Linked DNA regions of Drosophila melanogaster. The protein of the gene in region 2 interacts with the protein of the main gene of each other region in a pairwise test. Each region holds a gene or a part of one and is shown on either strand. Other genes may lie near its edges.

Region 1 (4,642 bases), on a different chromosome or scaffold from region 2:
AGCCCAAGTGGAAAAGCAAATTGCGTAGGTGAACCAGTAACTTCTCATTGCCAATACTTACGCCTATCTGTTTTTAGATCCATTGAAAACCAGGCCCTCGCGTTCAACAAAATGAAGGAAAATCTTGACTTGCGACAGCACGAGCTAACCATGTGCGAGAACAGGTTGGCCCAAACAACCTTTCAACAGAATCAGGCTGAAATTGAAGAAATGAGGGAAAGGGTCAAGACCCTAGAGCAGCAAATAATTGACTCCCGTGAAAAGCAGAAGACCTCGCAAGCCAAAATAGTGGATATCGAGGCGAAGTTGGCAGATGCAAAGGGTTATCGCGAGCGAGAGCTGAATGCAGCCACCAACGAGATCAAGGTGACCAAGCAAAGGGCGGAGAAATCTCGTGCGAACTGGAAAAAGCGAGAGCAGGAGTTCGAAACTCTTCAATTGGAAATTACTGAGCTGCAGAAAAGTATCGAAACTGCAAAGAAGCAGCACCAGGAAATGATTGATAACCTCGAAAAGTTTAAGGCCGAGCTAGACGCTCTGAAAGTAAATAGCTCCAGTGCCGCGTCCGAGGTGACGGAGCTCGAACAGGCGATTAAGGAGCAGAAAGATAAACTGAGAGATCAGAACAAGGAGATGCGAAATCAGTTGGTCAAGAAGGAGAAAATGTTGAAGGAAAATCAGGAGATTGAGCTGGAGGTGAAGAAAAAAGAGAACGAACAAAAAAAGATCAGTTCGGATGCCAAAGAGGCAAAGAAACGGATGGAAGCCCTTGAGGCAAAGTATCCGTGGATTCCGGAGGAGAAGAACTGCTTTGGCATGAAGAATACTCGGTACGATTACAGCAAGGAGGACCCCCACGAAGCAGGCAACAAGCTGGCAAAGATGCAGGAGAAAAAGGACAAAATGGAACGCACTCTCAACATGAACGCTATCATGGTGCTGGATCGCGAGGAAGAGAACTTCAAGGAGACCGAGCGCCGGCGAAACATTGTGGCGATGGACAAGGAGAAGATTAAGAAAATCATAGTGAAGATGGACGAAGAAGAGCAGGATCAGCTGAACAAAGCCGCTACCGAGGTGAACACGAACTTCAGTGGGATCTTTAGCTCCCTTTTACCGGGTGCTGAAGCGAAACTCAATCCCGTCCATACCAATGGCTGTCTGACCGGTTTGGAGATTAAAGTCGGCTTCAATGGCATATGGAAGGAGAGTCTCGGTGAACTTTCTGGTGGCCAGAAGTCCTTGGTGGCTCTGTCCCTTGTCCTGGCCATGCTTAAGTTCTCTCCGGCTCCCTTGTACATTTTGGATGAGGTGGACGCTGCCCTGGACATGTCACACACCCAAAACATAGGTAGTATGTTGAAGCAGCACTTCACCAACTCGCAGTTCTTGATTGTGTCTCTCAAGGATGGTCTCTTCAACCACGCCAACGTCCTGTTCCGCACTCTCTTCGAGGAGGGTGTGTCCACCATCACCCGGCAGGTCAGCAGACAGGCGACAACCAACAAACGCTGAAATGGAACTCGTTTACTTTCTTATCACTTAATAAAACTTTAAAAATACCATATAAAACTGTTCTTATCATTTTAATTGTGAATTTTTTCAAGTTTTTTTAATTCGCAAAAAAGGTTGTGTATTACAGCAATATACTTATTTCAAGAGCCATCGGTCAATATACTTATTGCTACATTACTTAAATCAACGAAATAAGTAATTTAACTACAAATTTAATTTTGTAACGGTCGTTTGCGCATCAGCTGATTTCCAACCGGGCGGGCGAAACGTCAAACTGGTGAGACCGTCAAACGCACACACACACATACGCAGCGGACAGAAGAAGAAGAACGAAAGGCAGCAACAGCAATGTTTGAGGGAGTGAAAAATTAAACAAAAGTCCCCGGAATTCAGCAGCAAAAACTCGACGGCGGTTGAAAAACAAAACATCAAGATTTCGAGCCAACGCAGACTGCTTCAAAAGCTCACCATGGTAATTTGCAAGGTTCCAAAAATTACGAATCGTCCGATTCTTTTACCACACACACACACGACTTGTGCGTGTGTGTGTGCGGGGAGCAGCAAAATATTGTAGACACCGCTGGCATTTGGATAAACAATAGCAACAATTGGAGTGGTGTTCGAGGCGGGAAAAGCACCGATTTGTGGAATTTCATTCATTGGAATGTGGGATTGCTAATGAACCGTTTTACTCTTCCAGGATCGAGTGACCAAGCCGCAGAAGAAGATGCTCATCACACTGCTGCGGGAAACCAAGTACATGGAGGGCAAAAAGGAGAAGGAGTGGTATTGGGAGAAGATCCAAGCGGCCCTTAATACTATTGGTCCCAAGAAGACGATTATTCAGTGGAAAAAGGTGCGTTTACTTGCCTATTAAATCCAAAAATAAACTTTAATCTTCTTCCAGTGCTGGCGCGATATGCGACTGACCACAAGGAAAAAGCTGGCGGAACTGAAGCGCTGTCAACTCTCTGGAGGATCTCCACCACCGGGGATCGAACTAAACCAGGAGGACAACGATATCATCGACATTGTGGGCACCGAGTACTTCTACGAGGAGATGAATGGTGAGCTCAAGGCGGAGAACTTCTTGACCGGCTTGGACTACGCCCCGGAGCATCTGTGCGATGCTATTCTCACGGCAGCAGTGGGCCATCACCAGCACAATATGCAGCACCAGAAGGATCCGCAATCGCATGCAGGGCAACAGCAGCAGCAGGATCATCACACCAACGATGGCGAAACCAATGATGCTCCTGGATCAAGCAATGGTGGCTCATATCAGGGACACCCAGTATCCCAGTTGCAGGCGCACAATGGCAGCGGTGGAGGAGGCGAGCATAGCGGCGGTGGTCAATCCCACTCCGGAATGCTCCAGCACCCTGCTTTTCACGGTGGCTTGCATCCACACCTGTTGAGGCGCCAGCATGGAAGTGGATCACTATCCAGAGAGTCGCCATTTGAGGAGAAGCTTCTGCAGTTCATGCAGGATGCATTTCCAAAAAAGAGCAAGAAGCGCAAGAACCGGGATCCCGACAAGCTGTTCCTCTTATCCCTGTACGAAGAGATCAAGAGAGTTCCGGAGGAGATACGCCTTGATGTAAAGTCCGAACTAATGCAGATACTGAAGAAGTATCAGAAGAAGTCGCCTGTCAAAGCGGAGAAGCCCGCGCCCTCCTCTACGTCAACCTCCTCAAAACTCAGCTCTAGCAGCAGTGGCAGTAGCACGGTGACTACTCACTTGTCCCACAGCATGTACCAGTTGCAAAAGAAATACGAAAAGGGCGAGCGTGAACCATCGCCTCAATCACAGGTAGAGCGAGTAGCATCTGCAGGCGCAGTTGCTGTGCCCATTCATACCTCCCAGCAGCTGCCTCTTTTCCAACTTCAGAAGAAGTACGAGGAGAACAGCGTGGAGAAGGTTCATCAGCAGCAACAGCAACAGCAAAGCGAGCAACGCAAGCATGTGGAGGCCGCTCAGGCCCTTCATGCTGCCCACCAGCAACCGCCTCCACCGCCACCCAATGAGCACCTGCACCACCCCCAGATGGCCCACAACATCATGTTTCCGCTGGGACAGCTTCGCAACGAGCAGCCGACCGCACAGCAACACCAGCATGGCCACAATCCCCACCAGCAACAGCAACAGCATCCCCACCAGCAGCAGCAACAGGGACAGCAACACCATCCGCCAACGATCTTCGGATCGACCGCCAGCGAACGGCCTCCAATGTCCTACGAAAATGTCGGATGAGTCCTGAGCCGTCTGTGGGAAGCCACTTGTGGAGCACCACGCCCTGCGACGGTGTCCCCCACGACGGCAGACGCGCACAGCTGTTAGCCCTCGATTTAGACGGCAATTCGTAGGTCTCATTCTTATGCTAGCCTATACCTAAGTACACATTGCTCACTACACTACTACAGTCAAAAATGGTGCAGTCAATGAGGAAGATACTCCTGATGTATGCCATTTTGTAGTAAGTGGATGCCGTGATCCTCATGTAAATGTTCCCGTGGCAATAACAGCGTAGCTCAACTGTGACTCAAGTTCTCAATAGATCGCGACGCATACATTTTTTCGGTGTAAATACAAATATAATTGAATCTTAAAAACTGTGGATGTTTTTTAGTTCAAGTAAAATGATTGATCCCCAACTTCTGGCAAGAGCTCCCTATTCCCAGGTTTTTGTTTTTCTGGCCAAATCGGAGAAGTCATTGGCTTAGCTCTGAGGTGGAATCCACAATCTTGTTTGTTTGGACTTTGAAAAGCTGTAAATCCGGCAAGCGGTCCGTCGTTAAGCTGTCTTCAGGAATATCTAGTCTTCATCTCTCGTAACGCGATAACGAAACCCACAGGGAGCACGCCATATCATAAAGATAGTCAAACAGCTGACTGATCCGGTCTGCCTAAGTGCGAATTTCAACTGAGCGCTGCCGATCGCCGAACTCGTCGTTGTCTGTCGCATGTTGGGCAGGTTGATGAGCGATCACGAGCCGAGCTGCAGCATAGTCCGCCAGATCTGCGGCGCTTATCAGTGGCGTCCGGCTGGGATAAAGAGATACAGATACAGATACAGGCGGATCGACTGGAGGCAGACTGGGTCTGGCATTCTTTTCCGGCAGCTGC
Region 2 (4,569 bases):
GTCACCAACATGAAAACGGAAACGGTTTACTCCACCATTCAAGTCACCGACGAGCGGCGCTTCTTGGTTCAACTGAATCCTACCAGGTTGGAGCGCTTAAGAGCGAAGTCTTTGGTTTACACATTATATATCTTACGTACTTCTGCCTTTGTAGATTAAGCCTGCGCGCCCAGGAGACGGCTACAGTGCGTCTGACTGTTCTGGTGCCCACTGGCACAGCTCAGGGCACCACAGACCGGATTACCTTCACCAATTACGGTCGCGAAACATCTACTCTGGCGGTAAATCTTAAAGTGGTGACTAGCATAGATGCTCAGGTATGTGAACAGCCGATAACCTGATTATGAAAGCATAATTGAAATGTTTAAATATAATTTCCAGGACTCAACTGGACCTACACTATCCTGGGAGTTTGGCAGCCGCTGTGATTACCTGACGCCCGAATCCCAGAATTGTGGTGAACGTTTTTGGACTGTGGATGTGACCGCTCAGGACTGGCAGTCAGGCATGATGCGTTTGCAGGCCTCGCCGCCAGAGGGTCTTTTCTACAGAAACTATTATACTGCTGGTAGCACAGAGCCCCTGAAGGCAACCTACATGGCCTCTTGCTGCGAACCAAAGGTATCACTCATCGCTTTCGATGCGGCCGGGAACCAGAGAAGCCTCACCATCGATGTCAGAGATGTGTATTTGAACGAGGCCGCCATTGCAGCCATTTGCCTTGGAGTCATTCTCCTGATCCTGCTTATTGCAGCCCTCATATGGAGCATTGTGTGGTGTTGCAGACGGAGGAAGACAACGCTGGAGCTGCCCACATATAGATCCCACTCCACTAGGAGCATGGAGTAGATTGTTGTTATGTTATTGTGCCAAGTTAGAACCTATGTGGTCTCGAAGTCTAATAAAATGCCATAGAAGTACCAGATATACAATATGGCACCGTTTTACTAAATGTATGCAAATATTTAGGATACAATTGTTTGTCCCTGCATAAACTACTGAAACGAAGTGCAACTTAAAAAAAGTAGTATAAACAATGTCGGTGATTTCAAACGATTAAATGGACTTAACTAATGTCTTATTTAGGAAAACTATTATAATATATCTATATATTTGTTCAGCTAGTAGTAGGTATACATATTTGTTTAAGCCAAAATAAGTGCTGACCTGACCCATTCCTCTATACACTGAAAGTAGTTTATATTAACTTGATCCGTGATAAAGTCAACCCCAGTTTATGAAGAGGGTAAGAAGGTCAAGTGCCTTGCCAGGCTTATCAGCTTATCATTATAGCAGCCGAGCAACAGGTGACCCCCACTCCGCGTTAGATTCACGAACGTACGGTGACCCACTTACCGCGATTCAAGATGCCAGCGATGAGGACGGGCGCCGCTGGAGGCGTGGCATGGACCACGGGCGGGGCGGCTGGCAGGAGCTGCGGCTTGTTGGGGAAGTCGTCGAAACTCAGGCCGGTCACGGAGGCGCTCAGAAGCGGATTTTTAACGACACGCGTCTGGTTTGCGTTGTTGTTTACGCGAGCGGACACGTCACCTTTCGATCTTTCCGACATATTAGCGGCCGATCTGGAGCTTTAAATTGGGCTAACTCGATATGAAGATGTGTGCCAAGTGCACAGTTGCCTTAGGAATTATTTTTATACACAGGATATTGACACCCACGACGGATTAAAAGCGTTAAACCCGAGAAAACTTCCAGGCAGGCAATATTCTGCTTCTTTCCGCGCATTGGCCATTCGCCATGGAAAGCTTTTACCAGGGCTGCAGCGGATCCAGAAATGGATAGGCAAAAGCTGGTAATCAAAATATGCTTATAACATATATATTCCTAGCTAGTTTTAACTGGGAAAGAGTATGAAATCTCCGTGACTACCATAAACAAATTTTCAAAAATCCAAATAAACAGCAAAAATAGCCAAATATTGCTTTTGCTGCAGCCCTAATTCTCGGATATTATTTCGAATTGCAATTTGGGAAGAAGAAGAGTGAAGTAGATAAATCTTGATGATTTCTGCAAATATTAGTTTTTAAATAAAATTAATGGATTTGTAGAAACTCTGACCGTATTAATCGAGTTTAGGACTACAAGTGCCGTAAGCCCCGTCATGCCACTGTTTTAAAACAAGTGGAAAACCTTAGGGTCAATTTTTTTTGGGGAGGAGACCACAACAAATAACACCCACCGAATTAACTACGATTACTCATCGCCGGAATGTCTGGAAATCCTTTCGACAGCGACGAAGATCAAAGCTCGGCCAGTGGAGAGATACTAGAGGGCTTCCTATGTCCCATTTGCCGTGCGGATCTCAAGTCCATCGATGTGCTCACGGATCATTTTGCCCGCCAGCATGCGGAAGAGGAGGATGCCCTAAAATCCTTTAAAGATATCTTTACCAAGGCGAAAAAGAAGATCCTAAACCCCTTTGAGGATGAAAAAGGTGCATCTGTATCGTCGCCCGCAGGTTCCTCCTCTTCAGCGGCTGGCAAGAATCCCAATGGCAACGGAGATCGCAATGGACCCAGTAATGCCCGCTCCCGTCTAAATGTATTTAACTATATGGCCAGGCAGCAGCCTGGTGCTGAGTGCTCCCACTTCGAGTACTTTCAGTCCATTCGCAATCCTCGCCTGGAGCGATATGCCAGCGAAACAAACAAACTAATCATTCGTTTGCACCGCCTGCTTAAGGATCTGCCAGCGGATTCAGTGCAGCGGCGTCAGCATGAACAGCAAACAGTTGCCTGGCTGGATGGTAGTTCCGTCAAGTTGTGTCCCAGTTGTGCCAAGAGTTTCCACATCGCCCGAAGACAACACCACTGCCGTTTGTGCGGAGGCATAATGTGCAATGATTGCTCCAAGTTCCTGCCCCTGGAAGATGCCAGTTTGTAGATCCAATAATTGAGGAAAATAATGTAACTTATTTGATTATAATCCCGCAGTGCAACTAGCCAGTCTTTCCACCACAAGAAGCGAGCCCCTTCAGCAGCTGCATCAGCATGAGAACGCCATCCGGCTGTGCGAACACTGCCTTTGGCTGCTGGACACCCGAAAGGATATGCACGAAAGTCGCACTTGTCGCCCACTCCTCGTCCAGGTCTACGAACAAATTCGTCAACTACAAAAAGAAGTTACCCCGGATCTGGACATGTATCTAAAGATCATCAATAGCTTGAACGAAGGGGACACAATCTTCACGTTGGCGGATGCAGGTGCTTTGCGCGGCAAGATTGGACAAGTGGCAGAGGCCATGGACATGAGGAGCAAGCGCATTCTAGCCATATTTTGTGAACCAGGCAGCCGGGAGGAGGCATTAAAGAAGGCCATTCGGTTGGGCTGCATCCAAGCCATCAAGGAGCGAATGTTATCGCTGCCCCCACTGCCAGAGGAATCGCACATACGCCAGATGCAGGAGCGTAGACGCATGGAAACGGAGCAGCGTATCCTCACCGAACAGCGCATGGCCATGGAAGCCTACGAACGAAATAACATGGCAGCTAACCAATCCAACGTTGGAGTTCCTGGTCCGGAAAGCGGATCCTTTGCCCAAGGGGTATGTAGACGAGGACTCTCTGCAAAGATCAATATGTAACCTCTGTGATTCCATTTGCTTCACAGTCTGATCTTCAATCTCTGAACAACTGGTCAGCACCGCAGGCGGCTAGCAAGTCCAGCCTGGACGATCCGCTGATCGAGCAGATAAACATCATTAAGGGCTACATCAAACAGGCTCGCCAGGACATGAACTTTGAGGTGGTGGAGACGCTGGAGCTAAATCTTCGCGAGCTACAGCGCGAAGTGTACGAGCGACAGCGCCAGTCCCAGGGAAGCACCGCCGCCTCACCCACAGAGGCCTAAGCAGTATCCTACATAGTTAAATGTATATTCATTCCCTCTATGACAAATTACATGGCTTACGTTACGTTACGAATTTGTGGTGTATATTGTGCGAAAAATTTTAGTTTGTGCGAAGTTTCTGTAAATCAAAGTTTGTGCGTTTGACGACAACTGAGACTATAAAATGCAACATCCTATTTCGATTGAGTCTATGACTTCAGGCCAACGGCAGCGATCAGTGCCTTGACCTTGGTAATGTAGGCGGCCTGGGCGTCGGTATTGCTCATTCCCTTGCGGTTGTTCCACGCCTCCCACTTGGCCTTGCCCTTGAAGTCCAGAAAGCCGGGCTTATCTGCATTGGATTAGAATTATCGATGGTGCAGCGGAGTGACGACTATGTCCGAGACCCACCTGTATTGCAATCCCCCACAGTGGCCTGTTTGTACAAGCTGTAGAGCTCCAAAAGGTCATTGTCCCCGGGTGTGGTGTTTAGGTTCTTAACATCTTCGGCCGCCTGGTTGAATTCCTGTTTAGGTTAAGTTTGAATAGGTAATCAGACTTTAAGATACGAATGCGTATTTGACGTAGATTCAGTTCACCTGCAATTCGGACATTTTTGTATCTATTTTTTAACTAGTGGAAGTCTTTGGAAAAGAAATTGCACGATTTTACTTCACCGAATCTATCGGCGTCTATCGATATCTGGTCTATACTTTTGTG
Region 3 (4,695 bases), on a different chromosome or scaffold from region 2:
CACCACCTCGTCGTTGTAGCTAAATTCCATCAAGTCGATATTTACGAGATCGTGCTTCAGCTCCACCACTCGACCCAGACAGGCGTCTAGTAATTTACGCACCAACTGGCGCTTCTGAGGCTGAATCATCTATGATGAAAGATGAGAAGTAAACCAGAGTCAAAGGATATATCATCTCCTTATATATATCCCACTTTTGTTTAAGAAAGTCGTATACCCACATTATCATAGACATCCTCCAAACGATTGCTCAGACATATGTAGCGCAGATAGAACTCGTACAGACTGGACTGCAGCAAGGCCTTGGCATCCGCATCGGCGGCGACGGATCCGACCGCTGCATTCATGGTGGCCACCGTCGTCTCCACATCCTGGTGCTGCCTCTCATAGTCAATCGTGGATAGAAGCTCGCATTCATGCTGGGATTGGTGCCAGATATCATTGAAATATGTGCTGGACATGATGGTCAATGATACTCCTCCAATGAAAAATCAGATTCTTGTTTGAGCCAAACGAAACGTTGCCTGGGAGTTGCCAAGGAACTTTTTGCCGAAACGGGGTGGAATTATTGCAAGGACAACGAGAGTTTAGTAATTTTGTACACACATAGTTGTATATAATACATTTTGTCCAAGGCGTTGCCTGGTGTTACCCTCGAGAATAACAATAAATATGTTTACATGGTTACGCTTAAAAGGTTAAATAGTCCAATGGATTTGAATTGGTACAATGCATGGAATACCTTAATACATAATGCACATTCATATTTAGTTAATAAATAGTTAACAATATAATTGGGGCTATCTAGTCAAAATAGACTTTAAATGTTATCCGTGGAACAGTACTTGATCATGGATTTGGTGTGCTTAAACTGAATGCCACTAGTGGCGGCCACGACCTCTTGGATAAAACTCTGCGAGTTATGGATGGTGGTGCCGCCAAGAATGACTTTATAGCCGGCGTTGTTTAACTGGTGCACCGCTAAGGCTTCCTCGTACGTGGCACCGCCAATAATGAACACGACAACCTCCTGCGGTGGTCGTCGAAATGGCACAAGCTCTGAATTGATGGCCGGGAAGAGGGGATCCAGCTCGCGGCCCTTAAACACGTCCTCCAAAGTTTCCTTCAGGAGAGGAGTGTGCTGTGTGAAGACATTTTCCACACCCTTAAGGCCCTTAATCAAATTCCGTGTCAGCTTTACGGCGTCCGTTATCCGCACCATATTGAAGAGATCTCCTTGTCGTACATGGGTTCCAGCATACTCAATCAACGATGGCACTATAGCCGCTCGTCCACCGCGCGTTTTGATTATTTGCAGCAGTCCAGATGTGTCGCAGTTGGCGTGTCGCTCGTATCGCAATGCATAAAGTGCCACCAACTTAAGAGCATCATCGATGGAAACCCGTTCGTCGGCAATTAGTTTTTTGATTCTCTGCAGCTGGGCCGAGTGCTCCGCCTTGCAAGCGATCTCCTGTTCAAGTTCGGAAACCTCGAAGAGATTCCTCTTGTTGCTCAGCGCCGACAGTTCTCCAATCACACACAAATGCTTTTGCACAGTGCCAGACATTTTTTTAAACTGCGGATATGACTCAATAAAGTTCTTCATGTCTGCTATGCTCTCCACTTTCTTGTGGTCGTTCGCCTTGCGCTGGAACTCCTCCATCAGTTGTTTGATGGTAGATCCGATTTCGCCGTAGTTGGCGTACATGTTGTTGCCATAGAAGTCATCCTGATCACCGGATAAGACCAGCTCCTTGAAGTCTTTCGGCACATTGGGGCAATTGGACAGGTCCAATCGATTGTTTTTTATGTGCAGCAACTCATGCACCATGGCCTGGTATGTCCACTGATGCAAAAGCGGCGTCACAGGATCGTCCCTGCGGTCCAGCACAAGCAGCAGCGGTGGCGCAGCGCCATCCATGTTGGAGCGAAAGTCGAATAGCGAGGACTCTTTTGTGATTTGCTCGTATATGAGCTTGGCCAGAAGCTGCGCTGCCTGAGAACCGGCTCGGTACCGGATCACTGGGTTCAGCTTAAGGGACAACAGCACGGCTGTGATGCCCTGCATGCTGCGGTTGAGAGCGTCCGGCAGCCAATTAAGATTCGCCATGCAATTGGGAATGCCTAATGAGAACAGATTGGGGTTGACGCACAGGTAGTCTGCATACAGTTCCTTCACTTCTCGCACCGATTCGGATTCGTCGCACTCTGCCAAGTATTTAATGTCCGTCCGGGGAATGATGTTGCTGAAATCTATTTATGAGTTTAGTACTATTCCGAAGGTGCTTCTACTGACCCACTTACAAATGTAGTAGGCGCTGTATTTGGGGTTCCGCAACTCGTTGGCCAGTAGCTGGATGTTCTGCTTGGTGGGGCGTATAAAGACGATGCATTTTAGATACTTTAACCGCTCGTTGGATCTTCCCGAGTCCAGGCGCTCAAATAGGTACACCTCCCGTTGCAGCATGTCCGATTGGCTAAAGGCCATCGAAATTATACTGGTCTGCGAATGATGTGAATTTTTGATCATATGGCAGGGGATTTGATTGTCAGTCCTTGCACTTACCGTCTCCTTGTCCAGCAGAATGATTTTCATGCCCGGTCCCGACTCGGAGCACATTTTCTCGATGTACAACTTAATGCCGCTTATCAGATTCATGACTGCTAACTAATTTACTGCGAAAATCAGAAATTAATGTTTTTTTTCGCAAACAGATGGGTTGGAGATGCCCCAATTGCGATAGCTCCGTGATAACAGCGGTGACCAAACATTTGGGTAACATTCGCTAGATCTAGCTAATGTAAAATAATGTGAATATGTAAAAATGCATATAGATAAAAACTTACAATTTTTTGGTAGTATAATAAAAATAGCAATAAAGATAAACATAAATAGCAATTAAGCTCAAACATAATTCCGTATCTTTTCATTAGCCAAAATAAACTTCGAGTAGCAACATCCCTGGCCGGCAATCGATAAAGCGCCGATATGCTCGAGCGATATATCGAGTGCCCAGTAGTTATCAGTCTGAAGCACTCGCAGCAGTCGGCCAGAAATTCTGGCATATATTTTTGGATTCAAATTCGGATGGCTGATATGCAGGTGGACTGTTGAAAACCGGCTAAATACAAGAGTACGAGCAAAGCATAGACTAGGACACAATGGAGATGCAACTGGGAGCCATGCTGTATGTGTACAAGGGGGAGTACGGACTGCCGTCCATAGATTTTGAATGTTTACGTGCTCTGGTAAGTTCCGTTGCATCACACGGCGGCCAGCACGCCTGTTTTGCCCATTATCGCAGATGATGAAAGAAACTGATGAAAGCGCCTCTTTGCCGGAAACAGTGCCTCCTGCGATTCACCCGCTGCCCCATGGACGTGCAGACCAGCTCCAATCCGCTGCGTTCGGGAGCCGGGAAGCTGCCGTATCTGCAGATCGGCAACCAGAAGTTCGCGGGCTATAGGCAAATTAAGCGCGTGCTGGATCTCGAGGTGAGTGAGCAAAACAATGCCGGGGTGAACAAACTGCAGGCTCTATTTATAGATATGTGTTTTTTTATGGGCTTAATTCGACGTATTCTTTCAGGGTTACCCGATAGATGCGCATTTAAGCACTAAACAAAAGCATTTGTCCACCGCCTACGCCAACTGGGTGTTCACCAATCTGCATGCCTACTACCACTACTTCCTGTTTGGAGAGCCTCACAATTTTGACACAACCACGCGGGGCCTCTACGCCAAGCGCACGCCATTCCCCTTCAACTTCTACTACCCGTCGTCCTACCAAAGGGAAGCCTGCGACGTGGTTCAGGTGATGGCCGGTTTCGATGTGAACGACAAGTTGGACAAGCACGAAGGCGACTACGTGAGTGCTTTCAATTTCATATTGTCTCATATTACATTATTGTATCTTTAAATCCGAGGATTTTTTAATTTGTTTATCTAACCTATGTTTTACACCCAAGCTGCATTTCGATTGGAAACGTTTCATCAGTTTATATTAATAAGAAACAGTTTCTCATGTATTGGTCTTTTGTTATCAATATATCTTATCAATGTTGTGAAAAGCAAGACGTTTCTTTAACTATCAATTAATCATTTTACTTTACAGCTCGTTGTCAATGCCAAAAAAGTGGTGAACCTGCTCTCCCGGAAATTGGGTCGCAAGGTGTGGTTCTTTGGCGACACCTACAGCGAGTTTGATGCCATTGTCTACAGCTATCTTGCCATCATCTTTAAGATCGCACTGCCTAACAATCCACTGCAGAATCACATTAAGGGCTGCCAAAACCTAGTGAACTTTATCAACCGCATCACGAAGGACATATTCCGCATCGAGGGATACAGTTCCGTCAAGCTCACAAAGACACCCAGTGGCACGGAGGCCAGTCTGACGGCCTCGGAGCGCAAGTTCCTAGACTCCGAGCTGAACACCAAAATAGTAGCCGGCGTGGGAGCCGTCTTGGCCATGGGAGCGTTTGCGGCATGGCGTGGGATTTACAACCAGGTGGGTATTTTTGGCTGAAATTTGTAGTTCTTTACTCTTGACTTGATGGAGCTTATTCGATAGTTCTGGTTCAATGTCTTCTGTTGGCTCCAGACACTCTTGTAGACAGCCTCAGCTTGAGCACGTGCAAAATTCTCAGTTAATTGCAAATTCCGATTGATTCATCCTTGCAGCTAACGACACGC

The links.
Region 1: the proteins of Rbsn-5 (region 2) and CG10209 interact in a two-hybrid assay, tested with the Drosophila melanogaster proteins (one study listed by BioGRID).
Region 3: the proteins of Rbsn-5 (region 2) and Vps45 interact in a two-hybrid assay, tested with the Drosophila melanogaster proteins (2 studies listed by BioGRID).

Annotation. Positions count from the first base shown.
Region 1 is NT_033778.4:14,845,545-14,850,186, reverse strand, and holds CG10209 (uncharacterized protein), read left to right. Parts: upstream 1-1,820; 5' UTR 1,821-1,984; coding exon 1,985-1,987; intron 1,988-2,215; coding exon 2,216-2,371; intron 2,372-2,422; coding exon 2,423-3,769; coding exon of another isoform or gene 3,770-3,856; 3' UTR 3,857-4,123; downstream 4,124-4,642. Other genes in the region: SMC2 (structural maintenance of chromosomes 2), read left to right, coding at 1-24, 78-1,515.
Region 2 is NT_033779.5:8,157,863-8,162,431, forward strand, and holds Rbsn-5 (Rabenosyn-5), read left to right. Parts: upstream 1-1,969; 5' UTR 1,970-2,229; coding exon 2,230-2,896; intron 2,897-2,954; coding exon 2,955-3,565; intron 3,566-3,630; coding exon 3,631-3,870; 3' UTR 3,871-3,938; downstream 3,939-4,569. Other genes in the region: PAPLA1 (phosphatidic acid phospholipase A1), read right to left, coding at 1,357-1,570; CG43394 (uncharacterized protein), read left to right, coding at 1-86, 155-317, 382-849; Acbp1 (Acyl-CoA binding protein 1), read right to left, coding at 4,059-4,201, 4,261-4,375, 4,449-4,463.
Region 3 is NT_033777.3:9,561,990-9,566,684, reverse strand, and holds Vps45 (vacuolar protein sorting 45), read right to left. Parts: upstream 2,762-4,695; 5' UTR 2,660-2,761; coding exon 2,567-2,659; intron 2,504-2,566; coding exon 2,305-2,503; intron 2,254-2,304; coding exon 821-2,253; 3' UTR 593-820; downstream 1-592. Other genes in the region: CG16789 (uncharacterized protein), read right to left, coding at 1-129, 222-461; CG9393 (uncharacterized protein), read left to right, coding at 3,163-3,249, 3,349-3,495, 3,590-3,868, 4,115-4,510, 4,684-4,695.